Caenorhabditis elegans: one gene and its partners. The protein of the gene in region 3 binds, or shares a complex with, the protein of the main gene of each other region. Each region holds a gene or a part of one and is shown on either strand. Other genes may lie near its edges. The genes, in order: eif-3.E, cif-1 and eif-3.I.

What was found.
Region 1: eif-3.I (region 3) and eif-3.E share a complex: the UniProt entries of both Caenorhabditis elegans proteins name them as parts of the eukaryotic translation initiation factor 3 (eIF-3) complex.
Region 2: eif-3.I (region 3) and cif-1 share a complex: the UniProt entries of both Caenorhabditis elegans proteins name them as parts of the eukaryotic translation initiation factor 3 (eIF-3) complex.

The regions. Positions count from the first base shown.
Region 1 is NC_003279.8:10,638,973-10,645,428, forward strand, and holds eif-3.E (Eukaryotic translation initiation factor 3 subunit E), read right to left. Parts: upstream 3,310-6,456; 5' UTR 3,304-3,309; coding exon 3,214-3,303; intron 3,146-3,213; coding exon 2,870-3,145; intron 2,824-2,869; coding exon 2,347-2,823; intron 2,292-2,346; coding exon 1,836-2,291; 3' UTR 1,551-1,835; downstream 1-1,550. Other genes in the region: cdc-26 (Anaphase-promoting complex subunit CDC26), read right to left, coding at 415-482, 527-779, 947-1,005, 1,051-1,255; B0511.17 (DUF4283 domain-containing protein), read left to right, coding at 4,057-4,172, 4,607-4,733; tag-344 (Protein kinase domain-containing protein), read left to right, coding at 5,312-5,432, 5,478-5,582, 5,630-5,952, 6,000-6,310, 6,357-6,456. UniProt on the Caenorhabditis elegans protein: Component of the eukaryotic translation initiation factor 3 (eIF-3) complex, which is involved in protein synthesis of a specialized repertoire of mRNAs and, together with other initiation factors, stimulates binding of mRNA and methionyl-tRNAi to the 40S ribosome.
Region 2 is NC_003282.8:4,704,256-4,712,749, forward strand, and holds cif-1 (COP9/Signalosome and eIF3 complex-shared subunit 1), read right to left. Parts: upstream 6,501-8,494; 5' UTR 6,225-6,500; intron 6,139-6,224; coding exon 6,027-6,138; intron 5,528-6,026; coding exon 5,067-5,527; intron 4,333-5,066; coding exon 4,003-4,332; intron 3,073-4,002; coding exon 2,887-3,072; intron 2,835-2,886; coding exon 2,751-2,834; 3' UTR 2,599-2,750; downstream 1-2,598. Other genes in the region: yars-2 (Tyrosine--tRNA ligase), read right to left, coding at 6,653-6,859, 6,910-7,578, 7,628-7,764, 7,813-7,985, 8,037-8,138, 8,186-8,241. UniProt on the Caenorhabditis elegans protein: Component of the eukaryotic translation initiation factor 3 (eIF-3) complex, which is involved in protein synthesis of a specialized repertoire of mRNAs and, together with other initiation factors, stimulates binding of mRNA and methionyl-tRNAi to the 40S ribosome.
Region 3 is NC_003279.8:2,483,195-2,491,632, reverse strand, and holds eif-3.I (Eukaryotic translation initiation factor 3 subunit I), read right to left. Parts: upstream 5,773-8,438; 5' UTR 5,765-5,772; coding exon 5,629-5,764; intron 4,826-5,628; coding exon 4,392-4,825; intron 3,422-4,391; coding exon 3,067-3,421; intron 2,193-3,066; coding exon 2,134-2,192; 3' UTR 1,846-2,133; downstream 1-1,845. Other genes in the region: ddx-10 (ATP-dependent RNA helicase), read right to left, coding at 776-1,396, 1,443-1,649; Y74C10AR.2 (Conserved secreted protein), read right to left, coding at 7,981-8,430; abtm-1 (Iron-sulfur clusters transporter ABCB7, mitochondrial), read left to right, coding at 6,251-6,310, 6,358-6,435. UniProt on the Caenorhabditis elegans protein: Component of the eukaryotic translation initiation factor 3 (eIF-3) complex, which is involved in protein synthesis of a specialized repertoire of mRNAs and, together with other initiation factors, stimulates binding of mRNA and methionyl-tRNAi to the 40S ribosome.

The DNA of each region.
Region 1 (6,456 bases), 8.2 Mb from region 3:
CAGGGCTGGTGAAGAATTAATGAAATATTGGAATTTCAAAAAACAAAGAAAGATAGAAAAATCACAGACTATGACAGTAAATGTAGCATTTCAGAAATATTTGTTTCAAATATTGTACAAATTTATTTAGTTCGAAAAAAGAAGAAAGCACGCTGAGGAAGTTGGAATTGAAAGGGAGATCAGTAGCAGGGCGTGTAAAACTGCGAATTTCAGTATAACAATCCAAGTTTTTAAAAAATTAAAAATTGATAAATATAGAAATGTATAAAACGGTTCACTTTTAATGAAAAGCTTGAGAAGACCTCTAAAAGTTTTTCTACGTTTCTAAATCAATTTTAGATCAAAAAGTGAATTATTATATTGAAATAAGCGGGTTTTGCACGTTTGCCTAAACACAACCCTGACCAGTAGTTGTTAGTGTCTGTGAGATCGTGTATTTGAAGAAGGTCCTCCAGAAGTTGAAGTAGGATTGCCGGGAGTAGCTGAAAATAAAATATTGACAATATTCCTCCAACAACTCATTGACCACCATAGAGATGAGCATTAGGAGATTCGGGAGAGTCAGAGGGTGTTGGAGATTCGTCATTGATTCCTTGCTGTGGTGTATCATAAGCGTTGAAGAGGAGTGGCGAATCATTGTCACCAGAACGAGAAGCTCGTGGACGTCGACCTACACGAGGTGGCATAACTCTCAACATTTCAGCTGATGAGACAGGGTTGACTGGCGTCGAAAGTGTTAGAGTTGGAGCAGCGACAGGAGTTCGAGCAGATGTTAAAGTCTGGAAATACGGAGAATAGCCATAAGATAAATATGAAAAAGTGAATAGAAATAAGTGTTCGAAACACCAACAACACAAAATTATGTCACCTGCACTTCAGTGAATGACATTTCACATCGATTCTAAAAGGTAATGTTTAAAACATTTAATTTAAAAAAAAAAATTACCGGTGCAATGGAAGTACGCGTGCACTCTCCCGTACTTGGTCCTGGAACGTCTCTGTTCTCTGAAAAAGCTAGGTTAGGAAAAATTAAATAAATCATCATCTCACTTCTATCCGCCGATCTGAGATTTCTCCTAGTTATGCCACGTGGAGGCTCACTCTGATCCATCGGCTCCATTTCGTCAATATCCATCATTTCGCATTTTGGCACGATCACAGCTGGAAGTACCCTCTTGTTCAGTTGATCTGTCAGCCATTGGATATCGTCCTCACACAATTCTAATTGTGTTAATGGACGCCGTAACATTGACATACTGAAAAAGAGTGAGATAAATTATTTAATTTCATAAAAACTGTGAATTGGCGAAAATGTGTATTTTTGGAGATTTAATTTTTAAACGGCAAAATCGAACCTATGGCTTAAATATTTCTGTAATTAGCGAAAAAGTAAGGCAAATTCAACAGAAATGACAAAATATACAGATGGAAGTGTTTTTCCTCACAAAAAATAATTTCAAACAATTTCTCGGCAACGGCAATAAATATATATTGAAAGGTTTCATAAACCTAGATTCTAACAATAATCAAACCATGATAAAAGAGAAAATATATTATTTTAACCAATTAGAACCGAACCTCCAGCCCCTGCACTAACGAAAGAAGGGTCAGAGACAACAAAAAGAAACAACAGGGATATAAGGAAAGTTTAGAAAAGACAGAATTCGAGTAGTCCTCGTAAAAAACCGAGGAGCTGAACAAATAAGAAAGAAAAATAATACTGAAAACTGAGAGATGACAGTCTTAATCTCCGTGTTTGCCACATCTCAATTTTCAGAACAGCATCAGATGAAGAAAAAGGAAAAAACATTCAAAACCGGAAGAACTTGTAAAGCCTAAGTCGCCTTGACTTTGTCTTGACGACCTTTTTCCAATTGAAGGGCGATTTGTTGAGCGCGGAGGGTCAATCTCTTCGTGTTTTCCATGACTTGCTCGTGGATGCTGACGGATTTGACACCCATCACCACTTGTCCCAACTTGCTGTCAATTTTAGCTCCTTCGATACGATACGTTCTGATCAAGTCAACAATCCAGCGTTCAGCTTCCTCTTGGCTCATATTCAATCGTCGTGCTAGCATTTCTATGGTAATGCACTGATGAATGCGGCAGAACATCTCGAAAATGAGAAGGCGTGCAGACTCGCGGAAATCTCCAAGGACAGCAGTCAGGAAGAAATCATTGGAGAGAACCTCTTCGCACTTTTGAAGCATCTCTTGAGCCTCGTCGAAATCATATTTGATGTAGAGACAGGTGAGGAAATCAGTGACGGGATCCTTGTAACTATGGCGTTCCTGTAGAAAAACAAATAATTAATCATATTTTCATATAGAAAATAGTTAAACTCACGATGTCAATGACCTTCACCAAATCTTTCAAGCTGTTCTTCTGGCGGCTTTTGCTGGTAACAACGGCAACAGCCAGATAGCGGAGCAAATGTGGCGCCAAAACTTGGATTGCATTCAAATAAGGTTGCTGGTTCAAGAACATTTCGATAATCTCATCACGCCCTTTTGGATAATTGTAGTAGACGAAAAGTGCCCAGTGCATAAGCCACGCACGTTGCGTAACAAGTTCCCATTCCGTGTCGAATGGATTAGCATCGATGTAAGCACGAAGTTTCAGCAAATCGTCACGAGCATGTTCCCATTCTTGGAGCAGAATTTCACTGGCCAACTTTCCGTAAAGAGCGTTCAAATAGTTTGGATCCGCTTGATTGACAAGGTTGCGGTAGTAGTAAAGGCACACGGATGCGACGGTGTAATTTCCGCATTCGTACATGAACTTGCTGTACTTGAAGAGGGTATCGACCATGTCTACTGTGAACTGCAAGAATTAAGATTATTTTCGAAACTGCAAAGCAAAAACGTACATTGTGGTTTTGAGTGAGATGCTCCAAAATACGGACATTTCCATCTCTTTCTCTGTTGTTATCCATCATTTCCTTGACTTCCGGTATTTCCAAAATGGCAACAACGGAGTCCACCTTGCTTTTCAGCTCATCTCTCTCCTTGATAATTTGCTTCTTCTTAGCCTCAATTGCAGCCGGAATAGGTTTTCCATTGTAGGTCTCTATAACACTATCAATCATATTGGTCTTGGTCAAAAGCTGGCGGTGCATTTCGGTCAGGGATTTCTCATCGTAAATCTGCAATTATCATTGATATAAATAAATTCAGCTATTTCAGAATCAACAATTTATTGTTTAAATCTTACTCCTCGTGGTTCGATGAACTCCAAGAGCGGAATGATCAAATGAAGATCGAGAAAAGGCGCCATGCGCTGAGTCAGGTCGAATGTCGACATTTTTACCTGTAAAATAAGCGTATTAGTATAGTAATATGTTCTAATAAAACTCCAATCAATTTTCTTAACGGAAAACATAAATAAAACAAAAACAATGAAATTGCAGAAAGAAAATCGAGAAATTAGGAGAAATTCGCCGGGAAAGGAGGAAATGATAAACAACGCGCGCTATGGAATATCGGAGTGTCGTTGCTACTGCCTGCCAACACGAGCCACCAGCGAAATGAGAACTGCGAGAAGTAGAACTACGAGAAGAATAACCGAAAACTGCAATTTGCGACATTTGAAAAATATTTCGGAGTTTTTTGGTTCTAAAATTTCAGTTAAAAGTTTTTTAATTTAAAATATTCAAATTGAGAAATTACGAACGAATCATAATGTTCCTGGGATTAGGAAGAGTTACAAGATATTAAGACCCGAGCCCGTATCGAGACCCACCCCGAAAAACATTGTGTGGCTTTAAAGCAATGCTTAAATATTGTAATTGTGAAATGTCAGTTTAAAATCACATATTAATTTTTCGAGTGGGTCCCGCAACGATCTCAATAATAGTGTGCCAAATTTTACCGATGTGTCAGAGACACAAGTTTTATGAAATTTCAAATTTTGAAATGCACAGAAAAGCGAACAGTAAAATTTAGAATGCTTTATTATTAATTTTTGGGAACAGACGAGACCGTAAATTCATGTGGTGTCAGGTTGCCCCATTTCGGTTTGATCAACATTAAATTCGGGTATTTGATGTCAGGAGGAATGCCGAATCTACGAAGAATACGATTCAATTCATATGGACCTCAAAACTATGAAGGAGTAATGCATCGAATTATTCACAGACCGTGGAATGGAAAGCGAAGACCAAAAGTGTTCAAGTGAGAATATAAATTATTTGTCGTAGAGCTGGCGAGTGGGCTACATGAAGAGCCCTGATTCTTGAGGGTAGTGTGCCACCCAGTTGAAACAAAACCTGACTATATAGTTTGACTTGTGGGTCTTGGTTACACATATTGTTTCTAAAGATCTTGACATACCGTATTTCCTCTATTAGTTCAACAGACTACTTTACTTTGAAAGGTTATATCTCGGTTCATTTCAAAGATATCATAAAACTATTAACTACAAAACGATATAAAAAGAACTACCAAATATTTCATCAGTTAATTATTTTTGAAAACAACCGAGATATAAGCTCTCAACCGTGAACGATGGGGTGCCATACTAATTGAAGAAATTCTTGCTACCTATCTACTGTAGAGATTAAAGGAAAAAAGCTAAATTATTTTATTTGAAAAATAATAACATTCAGATACAAAATAGACGAATTGGATTGTACACTTGGATGGGATATTGAGAGCGACGATGGACAAATTGCAACCGTCAATTTTATCGAAGAATGCCTTGATTTTGTTGTATGGAAAAACGATAACTATTAATTCAATTTAAGCCAGTTGCTGTTATGTCAGAATACACTGAAATTGACCAAGATATCAAAATAAAAAAGGCAAACAATTTTTAGATCTCAATTTTCAAATAACCGCTAAAATTTGTTCAAAACTGTTTTGGTAGATTTCCAGCTGCCAAATCTTAACTTTTTGGGTGCAAACAGTTTTTTTTTCAAGTTGGAATGTTATATTTTGATATTTGGGTCTTTTCGAATTTTTAAAAATGTCCCCCACTAGCACTACTCCATTTTACCCTCTGTTTTATAAATGTATATGTTATTCAATTACTCTCAAATTATCATATTATTTATATTTTCATTCTAATCCATGCTTTTTCAAAGACTTCATTTTAAAGAAACCTATAATATTATCGAATCCAGATTATAGGAATTAGGCATGTTATGAGGTGTGTAACAGGCGCCAGAAAGCAAATAGTTAGTAGCGAACATTTTTATTTCCCGATAAAATGTTAATTAAACATTTTCAACAAAGAAAATTTACGGAGAAATCAAGGAAAAATCGAAAAAAAAGTGACCTTTCGTGAAACGTGAAAATGTCTTGATGAACTGATGAATCGAGAAGAAAAATCTATTAATCAATATTCATCGAACCAAAATCGACCAATTTCGCAGTATTTTGAATTCATATTTCTCTGGCAAATTGTTGAAATGGCAACGGAAAACAATACAGGTAAGAATTTTATGCAGATTTTCAGAGAAAATAACTAATTTTCAGATGTTTCTGAGAACCAAGAAGAACCTGATGAACTGAGTCCAAAAACGAAAGCTTTTGCTCCAACACTCGAGAAGGTCTGGAAGCTCAAATTTGAGAAAGTTCTCGGTAATCATTTGGAAATTAATTCCAATTTATAATTCATTAATTTACAGGTAGTGGCTCCTATTCCCGTGTGGCACGCGCAACTTTCGGAGAGAAAAAGCTCGAAGTTGCAGCGAAAATCATCAACATTACGCCAACTCGTGAAAAAGAGGACTACATCAAAAAGTTTTTGCCACGTGAAAAAGAGATTGTCAAGCTCTTGAAACACGATAATATTTGTCGTTTGTACGAGATGATTTCATTTCAAGATCACATCATCTTCGTCAATGAGTACTGTGCTGGAGGAGATTTGCTCCGTAAAATGAAGGATATCGTGGCAATGAAAGAGGAAGATGCAAAGTTCACATTTCGTCAACTTATTGCAGCACTTACTGTAAGTTTTATATCAGAAAACTGTTTTTCTTAAATTTATAAATTCAGCATCTGCAATCCTATAACATTGTGCATCGGGATCTCAAATGCGAAAATATCTTTATGGATAAACATGGAAATGTGAAGCTCGGCGACTTCGGATTCTCGAGAATTCTGAAACCGGGTGAAAAATCTGGAACATTCTGTGGATCGCGAGCATATGTGGCTCCAGAAATTTTTCGTGGCAGAGAATATTCTGGAAATGCAGTTGACGTATGGAGTACTGGGGTCATTCTCTACATAATGCTGGCTGGATCAATGCCATTTGATGATCGTGACCCAAGGAAAATGATCGAGAGACAGTTGGCACATAAAATTAAGTAGTTTTTTTTTAAAAGACAACTCAAGTTAAATTTCTCATTTCAGATTCCCGAAAAGTTGCACATCATCGGTCTTTTCGAAGGCTCTGGTCCTTGAGATTCTCCAGCCACATGCACCGAACCGTCCGACCTACAAAGCAATTTGT
Region 2 (8,494 bases), on a different chromosome or scaffold from region 3:
TCAAGCTATGTTTAGCTAAGATCTTAAATTTTGCAAGAAAAAAATATCTGTTAGTCATTTTTTGCATTATTTTGAACAGAGACCACTAATCACAATTCTGTCTTATCACACCGAAAAATGTGGAAAAAGATGGAAATTTTGCATACGGAGCTTTCACTATCACTTAAATAATTACCTTCTGTTTGATAGACGTCTCAGGAATGAAAATGAAAAGTTTGGGAAAAAATGAGAGAAATTTGATTTGGACGGACGAATTTTTTTAAAAATTTTTTAATTCATTTAATTTTTTAATATTTATTTAAATATGATTTTAGTGCATTTCGTTCTGAATTTTTTAGTGAGGACTAAATACAATGAACTCAAAAAACTGAATTTCATAACGAGACTTTAAAAAATCGCTCAAAAAATAAATGACGGTTTTTGCTTAAAAATGTTTTGTTAGCTAAAAACCCACAACTTCGTCATTTTTTCTGTGTCCAAATTAGATTCAAATGCAACTAAATTATCGAAAACCCGTGAGAAAAACAATCCAAATATGCAGAAAATAGGACAATAATCAAATTAAAATCACTTTCTGAATTCTGCGAAACGGAAAAGGTGGCGAAATTGGAGGTTTTAGATTTAAAAAAAACCAAGCTATATTCAAGAATTTTTTAACCTCCATAAAAGTTTCGTTCTGAAATTCAGCTTTTTTGGGGCCATAAAACAACAATTTTGATCTGTTAGTCATCATTTAACATCACAAAATGTTCTTTTTTTCATCACCACTTAAATCGAAAGTATTTCCGAAGAACTGGTTTTTGTTTTGCTTTTATTGGGCGAAAACCTATAAACAAAAAAAAACAAGAGGATAACTTTCCGTTGTGCAAAATAAAGCTGTCAAAAAAGAAGAAGCTGCATAAGGAAATTGAGGAGCAGACACAACAAATTGAGAGTATTCAAAAAAAACGAAGAGAGGAGAGAAAAAGAGTGGACATACACACCGCCCGTGTTCAAGATCATCTCATCATCGAACGATCCACAGGAGGGTGATTAAGCACAGAACTTCACACAGTTCGCCCGGGGGTTTACCCCTTCTCTCATGCCTCTCGGCGTCTCGTCAATGTTTCATAACACTCTCACGGGCGGCTCGCTTTCGAGGGGCGCCCAGCAGCACCAATCGGCCAAAGACAGAGAGAGAGAGAGATAGAGAGATGGAGGGAAAAAGAGAGAAAAAACCAGAGAATATGACGCATTTCGGTGGAGGAGTAGGAGGAGTAGGAGAAAAAGAAACTGATGAACACAGGCTGCGCGGATACGCGTATATACACACATATACAAACTACTTTTGTATTAGAAATATGTTCTACTTATGAAGCATCACAGAACCTACAAAAATATCAGTTTGATTCTTTAATTTGAAGATGAAGTAAAATGATTGGAAATTTGGTTTTAAAAATTTCAAGAACATCTCAAAAAATGGTGTCATCGGAGAATGTTTCGACTTTTCTGGAATATTGAAAATCTAATTTTTTTTAGTTAATTAACATTAAAATACAATTTTTAACGAAGTTTGTTTGAATTGATAAAAAGAAAAACACTAAGATAACATATGTATTCGTCCAAAAAATGTTAAGATATTTTTTTGAAAAATCTGAATCATTAGATTTCAGTGAAAAATTGAAAAATCGACACCCTCAGACCCAAATTCAGAAAAATCACGATAGAGAAACAAAAAAAAACCGGAATTATGGAAAATCCAAATTCTTTTTGATTTTTCAATTTTGGTTAAATTCTCGTCAATGTGAGATATTCAACAAATCAGAGATTTGCGCCGCCCACTTTTCCACTAATCAGAGGGTTGAAGTAGCCGGAGCGAATCGCTGATTGGTCCCAGCTCTCACTTTCGGAGGGAATTCAAGCAGGAGTACCAAGTATTTTTTAAACATTCGCTTGAAAAAAAAGAATCTTTCATTCTTTACCGATTTTTTTCGTTTTTCTTTTGTGTATTTTCTGAATTTAAGTCAATTTTCGATTTTTTTGGAGCCAAATTTTCCAATCACGTAGCTTCAGCTTTTAAAATAATTTTGTAGATCATTTTTTTCGCATATTTTGGTACAATTACAGTCTATAGGCGCACGAATTTCCAATTTTTGTGCACCTATCGACTGAAAATGTACCAAAATCTGGAAAAAAAATGCGGCAGTAACTTCTAAAATGTGCAAAATAGAGAAGGCATGGTTTTTTTTTAAATATGACTCGAATTTTTTAAATTTAATTTCAAAAAGAATTTGAGAAAAAGGAAAATTAACTAAAATTCCCGTTTTCATTAGCAGAATTTTTGGACTTTTCTTCAAAAAAAGGCTAGTTTCTCCGAACTCTGAAAATTAAGAACAAAGATTGGCTTCGTCCGTCAAGTGACAAACATCTGATTATCATCGAAGCGGAAGAGACTAATCTCTTGTCCCTCCGGCTCCACGAGCATCAGTGTAAAGTGAGACGCCCGTGTGCTTATCGCATAACAAAAAAACAAGATAAAGCGACGGATAAATAGAAATAATCGGGTTTCGAAGTGAACAAAATCCATATTAAGTCAGAAGAGTGGGGAACATTTTCTTTTTTTAAATCAACAGTTTATGGGGAAATTTTTCAAGAGAGAGATAGAAATTATAGAGGAGGGAACCAACAAAACGGGGGACTTTCATGGGAAGAAAATACGATAGGGAGAACCAAAAACAAATATATTAAAAAGAACAGCGAAAAAAAAACAATTAGAGAGCCTCGATTCTCTGATTCACTTCATGGACGTTGTTGTGCGTTTGCTTCAGATTTGCGATGAGGACTTTCAGGCGTTTCTGGAAAAAAATCAATTTTTAAATGGAAACCCAACGAGTAAATATTATATACCTCGAGTAGAACCCATTGTTCCGTTCCGAATCTTCTGTGCTGGTAGGAGCTGACGATGAGAGTTCGGGCCATTTCATTGATTTTTCCGGAAATCGCGTTCACCTGAATCGCGTCGATCACAAATTCTTCGAGGGTCTCATCGGCAAGAATGTCCAATTGTTTGGCCAATTCGTCGAGACTGATTTCCTGAAAAATTCAGCAATTTTTATTTAATTCGGACGTTTCAAATGTTATATAGCCAACCGACGTTTCCATATGGGTCTCGCCACGCAAACAACGAGTTACTGTATCGTAACTTCACATTTTTGCAATATGGGTCTCGGCGCGCTAAAAATCCAATTTTTCAACGAAAATTCAACATTTTCGCATTCAAAGGTGTTCAAATAATTTTGAGCTTTCTCTAACTGAAAAATTGTTAAAATTCGAGATTTCGCTCTTTACAGAAATGGAATATTCAACATTTTCCACAAAATTATAGGTTTTTCGGGAGATTTCCTAGAGACGAGTTATTGTAATTTTAAGAGATTATGACAGGTTTTTAACCTAAAAATCCTCATTTTTGGCCGGGTTTTCATTCGGAAAAAGTCGTTTTTTAGTCTTAGAATCTGCAAATTTGCAGTAAAAAAGTGTGAAATTTTGGTTTTTTGTATTTTTACACTAAAATTTTTACGAAAATTGCATGTTTTTAACCTGGAAATCCACATTAATGGATGTTTCTCATCCGAAAAGTTTGCAATTTATAATTTTTAGCTTTACATTTCAGGTTTTCAGCTTAGAAGTGCTCTTGAATTTTGATTGGAAGGTAAATGAAAAATTTCTGCGAAAATAAAAAAAAAACATATAAGCAGTTCGTAATTCGAGCTACAGTAACTCGTTGTGAGCGTGGCGAGACCCATTTTCTCCTCTTTAATCGTCTATGTAATATCATTCGCCAAAGCCGTTATTTAGTCTTAAAATCTGTAATTTTGCAGTCGAAAAACGATAAAAATGTGTTATTTTGACACTAAAACTTTTCCCTTGAATCATAAATTTCAATAAAATTGCTGCCAAGATTTTCGAAACGAGTTACAGTAACTCGTTGTGAGCGTGGCGAGACCCAGTAATATCCAAACGTACGTTCTTCTCTTCAGCAAGCGACATGAGTGTCAAAAGACGGATCTTCTTGAGAAGAATAGTCTCGTCAACCTTCAAGTGCTCGGTGACAAATTTCGGATTCTTGGCAACAAATTCCTTATAATCCTTGAGAGTTCCAGAGATGAACAACTCGAGAGCTGTGAACATCAGTGGATCGGAAGTCTTCAACGCTTTGACTGCACTGAGTCGTTCGAGATGATCAAAGGAGAATGATTTCGGATCGACGACAGCAGTTCTAACACATTCCATAGCATCATCTCGTGCTGCGGCAGCGTCCTTTTCTGTGTATGTTCCGAGAAGTGCAGTCATAACCTGGAAACACTTTTTTAAAGGTTATGAGGACTTATGATTTTGGCGTTTTAGCTTGTATTGACTCAAAAAAAAATTTCGTGATTTGAAAAATTTCTCAAATTTCTACGGCGATTTAAATCTCTCTCGAAAAATTTCGCTAATTTCAGCTAAAATCTCTGATTTGCCAACTTCTCGTGTCCCAACGGTCAGAAATAAACTTATTTCGGTGGTTTTCGGTAATTTTTTGTTAAATTATGGAAACTTCAAATTATGAAGAAAAGGTTCAATTTTGGTCCAATCTTTGTTGTTTTAGACAAAAGTCGGTCCACTTTTTGGCCAACTTTACAGGCCATTTTCAGTAGAAATTTTGTCATTTTTGGTTTACTTTTCGCGCTTTTCGTTCAATTTAGTCATTTTAGCTCAATTTTTAGTGGAATTTGGCCATTTTGGTTCAATTTTGATCGAATTTTGTTCATTCTTTGGCGAAATTTTGGCATTTTTGTCCACTTTTGGGGTTTTTGGCCAAATTTTGAACATTTTGGTGACATCACCCTCAAATGTACCGCAAACAACAAAACAGTGTGAGATAAGAGACCAAGATTCAATAAAAACTGTGTTCAAGCCGCGAGACGGGACAGTTTGCAAAATTGAAGACTTTAGCAGAAATTAAGCAATATTTAACCGCCATAATTTTTTTAAAGGCAGTTTTTGTGTCTAGCTAAGTATAAAAACCGATAGTTCTTTATCAAACCCACCTTGGCAGCCTGATCAACTCTCTGATCAACAAGAAGTGCACGATGAACTGCTCTCAAGATCTCGCGTTGTCCCTCGACTGGCGTCTTCCATGTGTTGAATCTATCTTGAAGAGTCTCAAGATTGCATTCCAGCTCTCCAATGAGTCTTGCTTCAGCGCACATATCAACGAGCGCCTTGAAGATCTTCTCCTGTACAGTATGGAAGTTCGAGTATCCCTTGTACAAATTCGAGAGCACACGAACGGCGATTCCGGCGTGACTAGCCCATCCGGTTCCCTTGTAGAATTGTGGAGCAACATTCTTGATGAATGAGTCGACGACTGGCTCACACTTCTCGCCTGGCACAACGACGATAAGAGATGATATCGAGTTGAGCACCAGATCGACGTCCTGGGACCATGAAGGAAGCACGTTGAGAGTGGAGCAGATTTCGATCATGTTTTGGGCGGTCTCTGATGGTCCTGAAATTTTTTAAATCCAAATTCTGAAGCAGGGCTGTACCGCAAATCTTTTCTGAAAGTTTACGTATTTCCATGGGAGAAATTCTACAAAATGATCTATTGCATCATGTTGTTCTAACATTTTTCATTAAAAATAATGTGAAAACATAGAAAATCACTTTGTTTATCTGAAAATATCGTTGATTTTAGTTGAGAAATGGCAATTTGTAAGCAATTTTCAAATGCTTAAACTAAAATAAATACTATTTAAGGCCAAATCAATTGATTTTATATATTTTTAGAACAATTTAAATTTTAAAAAAAGTGGGAACAACATGGTGCGATAGGAAAATTTTGTAGAATTGCCGTTTCCACATGATATATTCAATTTTTTGAGAAAGAAATTGATACAGAAATGTTGAAAAAGAGTCGATCGACCTGAAAATGATAAAGATCCAAAAAGATTGGATTAATCCATAATTATTATATCGAAAAAATCAGCTTTACAAGTTTTCCGCACCATTTGGATCAAGCTTCACACTATCGTGCTTGTTGAGGTATTGACGGAGCTCTTGGAGCTGCTTGACATCATCAATGTAGGCGAAAACTGGAAGCTCACGAGTGTCAGCCATCTGAAATATTGTACATGCAGTTTAGAAAATATGGAACTGTGAACGAGCAAAAAGGAGAAATGCACATCAAACTTCAACTCATTCACCTTTATTTCGCGGCGCTATCAACCGTTGCGATCTTCTCAATGTGTCCTTTCCGAATCGCTTCCAGCTGTCTCTGGCTTCTTCTCAAATGATGCTCAATGAGCAACAGGTCACTTGGCTCGAAACGTGTTGCAGCGGCGCGGAACTCGTGCCGAATATGCGTGCGAATGCTCGGGTCACGGCCACGGGAGGCGCGCAAAAAATCACGGTAGGTGGAGAGAACGAGCTTTTGAAGTTTGCTGTGCACTACTCCTCCGCTCATGCGAATAGAGACGAGCCGAAAATTATTCAGGAATAAAATACAAAAAATATGCTTGGAAACGAGAAAAAGAGATATAATAAAGCGTAGAGAACGCCGAGAATATGACACCACAAATACAACAAAAAAATGAATATTTATTTTCATTATAACAACTAAAACTGAACCTATTCAAACCCATCGAACCAGCTGGTAACCTCGTTTTCCCCAACAAACAAGGGTGAGATCGGAGGCATTTTCCAGGAAAACGTCTGCTATTGATTCCGATGGAGATCTTTTCTTCTCTCCATTCACTGAAAATGCTCCTTGTTGCATCAAAAGATGACCTTTCCCACTGCCTAGTCGAGATGCGTCCGCGAGTTGGCCCATTGTTGCTACCTGGGAAGAAAAAGAATAAAATCTTCGACAACTAATTTTTTGATGCTTACATTCTCCTTTTTCAAGTCAATTGTTGTTCTGAATAATTGCAATACTTCACTTCTCGACAATCCCGATAAATCAGCCTTCTTGGCTCCAAACATTGCTTTTGTACACCGCATCGCCACTTCTAAACCTTCTTTTCCGTGCACAATTCGAGTAATTTCGGCGGCCAACTCCCTCTGAGCAATCCATTGTCCAAGATTGCTCCTATGATTCTTCAGAACATCTCTTATATGTTCGATATCTTGCAAACTGAAAAGTAACAGAAGCTCTTCCGCTTTGTCATCGTGAAGCTGCGCGAAGAACTGATAGAAATGGAACGGAGACGTCTTCGTCGCATCAAGCCACAGCGCACCTCCTCCTTCAGACTTTCCGAGCTTGGCACCAGTAGAATCCGTCAGAATCGGGAAGCATACTCCTGCAGCGAAGGCTTGATTCATCATTTTCTTAATATAGTGAGCTCCAAAGTCCAGGTGACCCAATTGATCATATCCACCAAGCTGGAATCGACATCCATACTTTTCGGATAACGTGTACCAGTCGAATGCTTGCATTGTTTGATAGCTGAATTCAGTGTACGATAATCCAACTTCCAGCCGATTCTTTATCGTATTCATTCGAAGCATCTTTCCGACTTGCATATTCTTGCATTCTCTCAGGAAATCTCGTAGACTAATCTGAAAAATATAACATTTTCTTTCTCATCATAGCAAGCCGAATGACTACCTTTCCTAGCCAATCATTATTGTTCACGATGATCGGCTTCTCGCTTGATCCCGGCGCGTTCTCAAAAATCTTGCAGATCTGATCTGTTACTTTCCTCGAGTTGTGCATAATTACATCGCCGGCCAGAAGACCCCGTTCTGAAGGTCATGATTTATTGAGTTTTCAGCGCTTTTCTAGGTAAAAACCTGATTTCTTTCCGCTCGGATCTCCAATACTGGCAGTGAATTCTCCGATCAATGCAATTGGACGTATTCCAAACTGCTGTGCACGAATTAAATTGACGAGAATCAGAAGATTTCCAATGTGAAGGCTCTCAGCAGTTGGATCGAAACCAGCATACACATAAGGTGGAAGCTGCCTGAAATTAAATGGATTATTTGCGGAATTTCGTAACATTCACAAGTTCAACCTCAAATCTTCGCTACATTTAGACAGCAGGTCCGTTGGATACGAGTGTTGCAGCTGTTTTCTCGCGTTTAAGTCGGTGATGTAATCCACGAATGAGCTTTCTCTGAAAAAAAACGAAAAATTAGAATAACCCACTAGCAATTGACTCACCGAGGTGCACGTACCGTTTTTAAGGCCACATTTCCGATTCGTTTGCTGTTGAACATTGTGTACTAGCGGTAGCTGCATAAAAATATAATAGAAATGATATTTTAGTAAAAGAAAATGATTAAAATCCCGTTTTTAGGGACCGCAGTTTCCACAAAACTCCGCGCGGTGGTCGGAGAAAATCCTCGGCCACCCGGCCACGAAAACTCGGCCATTTTGCATTTTCACCATTTTTCATTAATGCTCATTTAAATTGGTTTTCAGCCGAAAATGTGTTAGAAAACCAGCATCTAGTCGATTGAATTAACAGTT
Region 3 (8,438 bases):
ATTCTGCAAAAACTTGCCAATTTTATGTCAGAAAAATTGTATTTCAGCCGGAGAGACCAAAATTGGTCCAAAGTACGGTACCCGGTCTCGACACGACAATTTTTTGGTAAATACAAACGGGTGTGCGTCTTTAAGCGATTACTGTAATTCCAAATTTTCGTTGCAGCATGGAATTTTCTTTTTTTTTCGGTTAAAATTTGAGTTTCATCTCAATTTTTTAATCAACAAAAATATAAATTCCACTCCACTACAACAAAAATTCAAAGTTACAGTACTCTTTAAAGGCGCACAGCCATTTGTATTGAACAAAAATTGTCGTGTCGAGACCGGATACCGTATTTTATGGCCAATTTTGGTATTTTGGTGTGAAATACCAATTTTCTGACTTAAAATTGACCAGTTTTTGCAGATTTTCATATCAAAAAAGTAAAAAGAGAAGCTTATCACCGCATTTTTGTCGCAAAAGAGCCGAACTTTTAAATTTTAATCGAAAAAAGTCATTTTAGAAGTTTTTTGGACGAATTTCATGCAAATTTTTGAAAATTGAGAGTTATTTTCCAAGAAAATTGAGTTTTAAGGCACGGAAAAATTAGTTTCTGGATTTTTTTTAGTGTTAAAATTTGAGAATAAATTTTTAAGCAAAAATTGAGATTTTGGGAAATTAATCGAATTCTTAGACGTGGAAAACGTGTTTAAATTGCCGATTTTTCCGTGTTCCTATTCAATTAATGAACCATTCCGGAATTATTTCAATTTTCCGGGCGAAATCCCTCACATTTGTGCAAACTCTGCACAAATCCTTGACATTTCGTGTCTGAGTAGCCGAAAAGAGCAGCGTCTGACGTTCCGCGGGCAAATTATTAATGATCGAGTTGAGCTGCTTCGAGAATCCCATATCAAGCATTCGATCCGCCTCGTCGAGCACCAAAACTTGAAGCGAATCACAGCTCATTTGAGCATTCTCATCCATGTGTTGTAGGAGACGTCCCGGTGTGCAAACGATGATATTAATCCCGCTGATGCGATTTCTCTCGAATGCCACGTCACTTCCGCCGATAACCAAGCCACACGAGAATCCGTGATGGGCTCCGACGGCGTTAATTGTGCTAAATGTCTGAAGAGCCAGCTCTCGTGTCGGTGAAATGATTAGCGCTCCGAGACCATAGTCTGGAGACCATTTTGCTCGCCAAAGAGCCTCCAGCACGGGGATCACCAGTGCCAGAGTCTTTCCGCTGCCGGTTTTTGCGGCTCCGACGACATCTGAGCCGGTCAGAGAGTAGGCAATCGTGTCCCGTTGGATTTCTGTGGGTTTTGTGTAGTCATTATCCTTGAGACCCTCCAGTGTCCTCCAGGAGAGCGGGAAATCCTCGAAGCGGAGAAATGTGCGGGAGCTTTTCTGGAAAAATCGATTTTTTAATAAAAAAACTATTTTTTAGAGCTACCTTGAGCATTTCCTGATATTTCTGCTCAACTTCGTCGAGCATTGTCTCCTCCTGTCCCTTTAAATCCTGTTTTCTCTTTTTCAGAAGCCGCTTCTCCTTCAACGCTTTTCTGACACTTGGATCCTGCTCGCCATCGAAATTTCGTTTTCTTTTATTATTTCCAGCCCATTTCTGTGCTCCGCCGCCTTTTCCGTTTGTGTGAGGCATTGAAAACGCTGAAAATTGGGTAAAAATATTTAAAAATTGCAGGAAAAATCGTGCGCGGCAGTTGCGAAAAAAGCGTGCCAGGGTTGCATTCTGACTCCGCCCACAATTTTTCTTAATTTTTAATTGAGAAAAAATTAATTTTTTTTAAAAATATAATAATTGGAGATTAAAACCAAGAAATTCGAGGGAATAGATCAATTTTAACTCAAAATAATATTTATTTATGAAAAAAAAAACAATTAAAAGCCACCGAAAATTGATCTTAAATATGGAAAAAATGGAAAAAACAGAAAATCACCACCGCGTAATTTTAGAATTTGATAAATTTTAAAGGTTTTCCGAACTGCATAGGCTTAAATTCGTCATTTAAACTCTAAAATTAGGCGGTTTTCAACAGGAACGAGTAGGAAAAAGGGGGAAACGGTCTTTTTTTGGCAAATACGATCGCCCGGGAAACAGGAAGAAAACGAAAACGTAGAACAAATTAAAAATCGTAGGTGAAGCCGAGGTAGTCCTCGTCGAACTCTTGAATTCTGATGTAACCTGGAAAAAAATCAATAATTTTTGAATTTTTATATGAAAAATCCTCAAATCGCACTGCAACTTTTTTTTGAACGAGGGACGAGGAAATGCGGTTTCTAGGCCATGGCCGAGGATCCGACAAGATTTATCGGCAATTTATCTTGCAATGTTTTCCGCGAGTTTTCTTTTATTTTTCACCGATTTTTCCCCCGTTTTTTTCTTATTAAAACTGATAAATAAATTTTTTTAAAACCAGATGCTAAAATAATTTCCAAGTGAAAAAAATTGTGAATTCAGCCGGCAAGTAGCGGTGAAAGTGGTCAATGTAATATGATGGATTACGGGAATACTAAACACTAAACTTTTTTCGAAACATGATACATATGCTGCTTAGAGGCTGAAACTACCTGATTTTAATAACGAGACCGCTGAAAAAGTTTTTTGAGATTTTCAAAATTCAACATTTTGTGGAAAAATCTCGACTTTTTCGCCAAAAAGGTTGAATTTTGAAAATCTCAAAACTTTTTCAGCGGTCTCGTTATTAAAATCAGGTAGTTTCAGCATCTAAGCAGCATTTATAGCATGTTTTGGAAGAAAGTTTAGGTTTAGTATTCCCGTAATCCATCATATTACATTGACCACTTCCACCGCTACTTGCCGGCTGAATTCACAATTTTTTCACTTGAAAATTATTTTAGCATCTGCAAAAACAATATTTCTTCATCAGTTTTAATAAGAAAAAACGGGGGAAACATCGGTGAAAAATAAAAGAAAAAACGCGGAAAACAAAGCAAGATAAATTGCTGATAAATCTTGTCGGATCCTCGGTCATGGCCTAGAAACCGCATTTCCTCGTCCCTCGTTCAAAAAAAAAGTTGCAGTGGAATCCCCATACCGTCTTCTCCTCCAGTCGCGATAATTGTGCCCGATGGATGCCAGGCCATCGTGTTAATCGGTCCGAAATGTCCCTTGAATCTGGCGAATTCCTCTTCGAACACCATATGATAGATCTTGGCTTCAAAGTGTCCAGCAGAGACAGACGTCTGTGTGACCTGCATCGCGTCTTCTCCTCCTCCAAGGCAAATGTGATCGCGATTCGGTGAGATGCATGCCGAGTTGACGGGACGCTCGGATTTGTATTGTTTCAGCTTTTTCAGATCGTTCACGTCGAGCAGGGCGGCCGTCTTGTCGCGTGAAGCGGAGATCAGGAAATCGCCGCGTGGTGATAGTTGGAGATCTTGGACGCTGTACTGAAATTTTGGGAAATTTTTTTTTTGAAATTATTTTAGAAATCACGGAGGCACCACGGATTAAAGATCTCGTCGAATTCCGGATCTGGCACCGTGCCAACTGCAGTTTTCGCAGTTTTCTCGAAGAAAAATGTGGTTTTTTTTTAAATTTTCTTCAGGAAAAACGCTAAACAACACGCGATGCGTAACATCGGAGCATCGTTGTCAGGATTTTTTCCAGAAAAATTGCGTTAATTTTTTTTGAGTTGGTACGGTGCCAGATCCGGAATTCCACAAGATCTTGAATTTCGTGGAGCCTCGGTCTTATAATCATTGGAGCGCGCTTGCTGACACCTCACGAACTCCCGAATTCGCGGAATTTTGTTTCCACGGGAAATAAGGTTTTTTTGCTAATTTTGGTTTCTATGGAAATTAATATAAATTTTTGATGGATATTGTTGTTGGGAAGCTTTATACGACTCGAAAACGCGTAAAATTTAAGGTTTTACATCAAAAATCGGGAGTTTTTTGATTTCAGAATTTTAAAATATACATTTTTTGTAGAGAAAAATACAGTTTTAATTGATTTAATTGGTTTTTTCATTGAAAAAAATTAGAATAATCAAAATAATCAATCACTGCCGGATTTTGCTGCTTTTTCTCTTCAAAATGAGATTTTCACGGCTTTCAAATCGAAAAAACTGCCGATTTTGTTCCATTTTTCGAGAAAACTAAATTATTTCTTCGAATTTTTGGTTTTAATCTTGTGTGCGGAGTCAGGATGCAACCCTGGCACGCCTTCTTCGCAACTGTGCCGCGCACGGTTTTTTAATGCGAAATTTCGCCAATTTTCCAAATTGTACACACTTTCGGCTCTAATAATGTTTCCCCACAACAATAAAAACCAAAAATTAGCAATAAAATTTCCGCCAATTCAGGAGATCGTAAAGTGTCAGCAAGCGCTCCAGAGAACAACGAAAAAATGACGAACACGATGAACACTCTCGTTAGTGTGAATTGGTGTATCCGGATTTCTCAAATCGTACTGCTGAAGGAGTCCAGACTCGAATCCGATCGTCACGAGGTCATCCATCTGAGTGAAAAGTGCGGTCGTGGCGTTCACATCGAATTGTGAGTAGAAGAATGACTCTCCACCCTCAACCATTTGACTTGAATCACGAAGATCTCGGACTTGGAACGTCGAGAGATTCTTTGTCATCTTTTGTGTGGTGAAGCACACCAAATTTCCTGAATACGAGAATCCGCACGACTTCATCGGAGTCTGATGGTTGATTGTGTAGAGGCAGTTGCCGAGCTCGGCATCCCAAATCTTCACGGTGAGGTCTCCGGACGCGGTGACACACTTGGTAGTGTCCCATGAGACGTCGATATCCCACACGGCTCCGTTATGCCCGTCGTAGCTACCTGAAAAGAAAAATAATAAATAAATATATTTAAAAGGTGGAGTAGCGTCAGTGGGAAAATTGCTTTAAAACATGCATATGGTACCACAGTGACCGAATATCATGATTAAAAATTTCAAAAAAATTTTCTAAATTTTATATGATTTTTTGAAAAATTGAAAAAAATCTCAGTTTTTGCCTAATTCCAATTTTAATTACCGCCAATTGGATTTGTTCGATGGAGCGCGCTTGCACGTTTTAAAATTTATTTATTTTATTTTTTGTTATTTTCCAACGATTTTTAATGTTTTCGATGTATTTTTGCTTGAATTTTAGAGAAAAAGTCAAAATAATTGCAAATTTTCGATTAAAAAGCACGCTTAGAGGCGTAAAAAATGAAAAGTAACGCTTTTAAACGATTTCGAACCTGAATTAATAAATTTCACTGATTTACGCCTGTAAGCGTGCTTTTTAATTGAAAATTTGCAATTCTTTTGACTTTTTCTCTAAAATTCAAGCAAAAATACACCGAAAACATTAAAAATCGGTGGAAAATAACAATAAATAAAATAAATAAATTTAAAAACGTGCAAGCGCGCTCCATCGAACAAATCCAATTGGCGGTAATTAAAATTGAAATTAGGCAAAAACTGAGATTTTTTCAATTTTCAAAAAATCATATAAAATTTAGAAAATTTTTTTGAAATTTTTAATCATGATATTCGGTCATTGTGGTACCATATGCATGTTTTAAAGCAATTTTCCCACTAGCGCTACTCCACCTTTAATTCTGCGAAAATTTTTCGCGAAAATATTCAAAAATACCGATTCTCTCTCCATTTTCAGTATACCAAACGCATGGCTTCTTGTCCTTAGCACAGGAGAACGTCAAATCTCCCTCACGATTGAAACGGACCCGAGTGAGAGCACGTTCGTGGCCTTTCAGCGAAAGTGGACGCATTTCTGAAAGAAATCCCCTATTTTTGAAGGTTTCTGCGAGAAATTGGTGGAATATTCGGCAGTTTTGATTATAAAATGAATTATTGGCTTAATTATTAATAAATTCCATTAAAAAAATGAAAATTAGAAGCCAGAAAACATGGGAAATATTCGAAAAATAAGCGAAAAAACAACAAGAAATAGGATTTGGCTCAACCTCCGCAATTTGGCGTGACAGTGTTTGCGGACTTGCGTACCGTACCCCCGCGCAGAATAATCGACATCAGCTGACGAAATTTCGATTTTCAGCAATTTTCAGCAATTTCGAGTGGTTTTCAGTAGTTTTCAACAATTAAAAAGTGAATTTTATCAAATTTTTAGCAATATATTAATTAAAAACTCAAATTTTAACATGTTCCACCACAAATAACTGCTAAATTTCGCAACTCTCAATTCTCATCGATTTTTTTGCGAAAGCTTCACCGAATCCAGTTTTCAGAGATCGATAATGTTACAATTACGACTAATAGCTGGCCTACGGAACGCGTCAAACACTATCAGATCGCAGGTATCGTTAAAAAACCCGAGAATTTCCGGTAAAATATTGATTTTCAGGCAGTTTACCGCAGTTTCTCGTCACTGACAAAATCACCAGCACTCATCAGAAATGCCACACAGATTCTTAGTAAAAATGTGGGGTTTTGCGATAATTTGTTGAAAAAAACGTTTTAAAATCCTTAAAAAACATTTTATAGAAATTTCCATGAATTTTTAGGTTAAAAATATGTATTTTCACATTTTTTAAAGCTAATTCCAGAAATTTTTGCCTCGAAAAAGTTAATTTTTAGCCAATTAGAGCGAAAAATAAGCTTGTGGTCTCGAAGCGAAAACTACAGTCTCTAAAGTTAGAATTAAATTTTGCTATGCGCCTTTAAAGCTTTTACGGTAGCTGAGATATCGATTTTTCTCTTTTATAAATTAATTTTTTTCTGAATTTTCTTCAAAAAATTCCATTTTAGGCCTAATATATATCGAAATTTTCACTTTTTCTGCTCAAAAAATATATAATTTCTAAAAAAAAAAGCAGTTTATTTTGAAAAAAAAAACAGAAATTTGTGAAAAAGTTGCTGGAAAGCACCACTGGAACGTGGGAATCTTTCCAGAACTGGAAAAATCTAGCATTTTTCTTAAGAAAAGTCCAGTTTTTCGGGGAAAATTGGATTTTTTCACCTTAAAATCATTTTAAAAAAATGCTTAAAAATCAACAAATGGAATCTGCGAAAATTGGATTTTACCTCGAAAAATATGATTTTCAGTAGAATTTTAATGGAAAAATTGAATTTTCCGTTGAACTTCGTTCAAAGTAGCAACTTTCCGTGCTTAGAATCGTATTTTTAAGCAAAAATACGATGAAATAGCACGTTTTCCAGGAATTGTGTTGTCGCAAGCTTCAAACAATTCTCAAAAATCACAAATTTGAGATGAAGCTCGGAAGCTCCAAAGGAACTTGGAAAGTTGCATTTTTCATCCGAAAAACCCAGTTTTTTGGTGTAAAATTAGGTTTTTACACCCTAAAATCATGAAAAAATGCTCAAAAATCAACTTTATTAGCTCAAAAAGCACCAAAAACGTGTCCCAAATTCGAAAAAAGACATTAAAAAATCAATTAATTCTTCTTCTGAGCTTCTGATCCGAACTCAAAACTGAGTTCTCCTTCGTTATTCTGCTTACATTTCACATTTTGTCCATTATCAAGTTGTCCACTGGCATTCAACTCTAACAGCTCATCGGAGCAAACGAAACCTGCGGTTTACCTCGAAAAATATGAATTTCAGTGGAATTTTAATGGAAAAATTGAATTTTCCGTTGAATTTTGGTCAAAATAGCGATTTTTCGAGCAAAAAATCGTATTTTTAAGCTAAAATACGATGAAATAGCACGTTTTTCAGAAATTGTGCAGTTTTGTTCAATCGGAAGCTTTAAATAATTCTCAAAAATCACAAATTTGAGATGAAGCTCAACTGCTTAAGCTAAGGCTTAGGCTTAGGCTTTTCTACTCCACGGGAACATGAGAATACCTCCACAAGTGGAACAATTTTGCGTTTTTTCCCAGTTTTTTTTGGTGAAAATTCGATTTTTCTACCTTAAAATCATGAAAAAATGCTTAAAAATCAACTTTATTAGCTCAAAAAGCTCAAAAACGTGTCCCAAATTCGAAAAAAGACATTAAAAAATCAATTAATTCTTCTTCTGAGCTTCTGATCCGAATTCAAAACTGAATTCTCCTTCGTTATTCTGCTTACATTTCACATTTTGTCTATTATCAAGTTGTCCGCTGGCATTCAACTCCAACAGCTCAAGCCCCGCCTTCTTATTGAGCACACAACCAATCGGAGCAAACGAGATGTATCCATTGCTCATCTCACATTTATATCTGAATCCGACGGCATTATTCTTGTACATTCGATCGATTGTCTCCTCGTTCTTCACGAATTGCGATTTCTCGTCCTGTTCCCAACTGGCAAAGCATCCGGCTGTCTCGTATTTGCTCACACATGCCTCGTAGTAACTTCCCTTGCCGATTCGGCGCCGGTTTCCGAGATCACAGTCGTCACCGACTTTTAGGGACAAAACTGTGCTCGACGCCATGAGTACGATGGCGGTGAAGAGGGCCAGTGTTGAGCTCATTTTCTGGA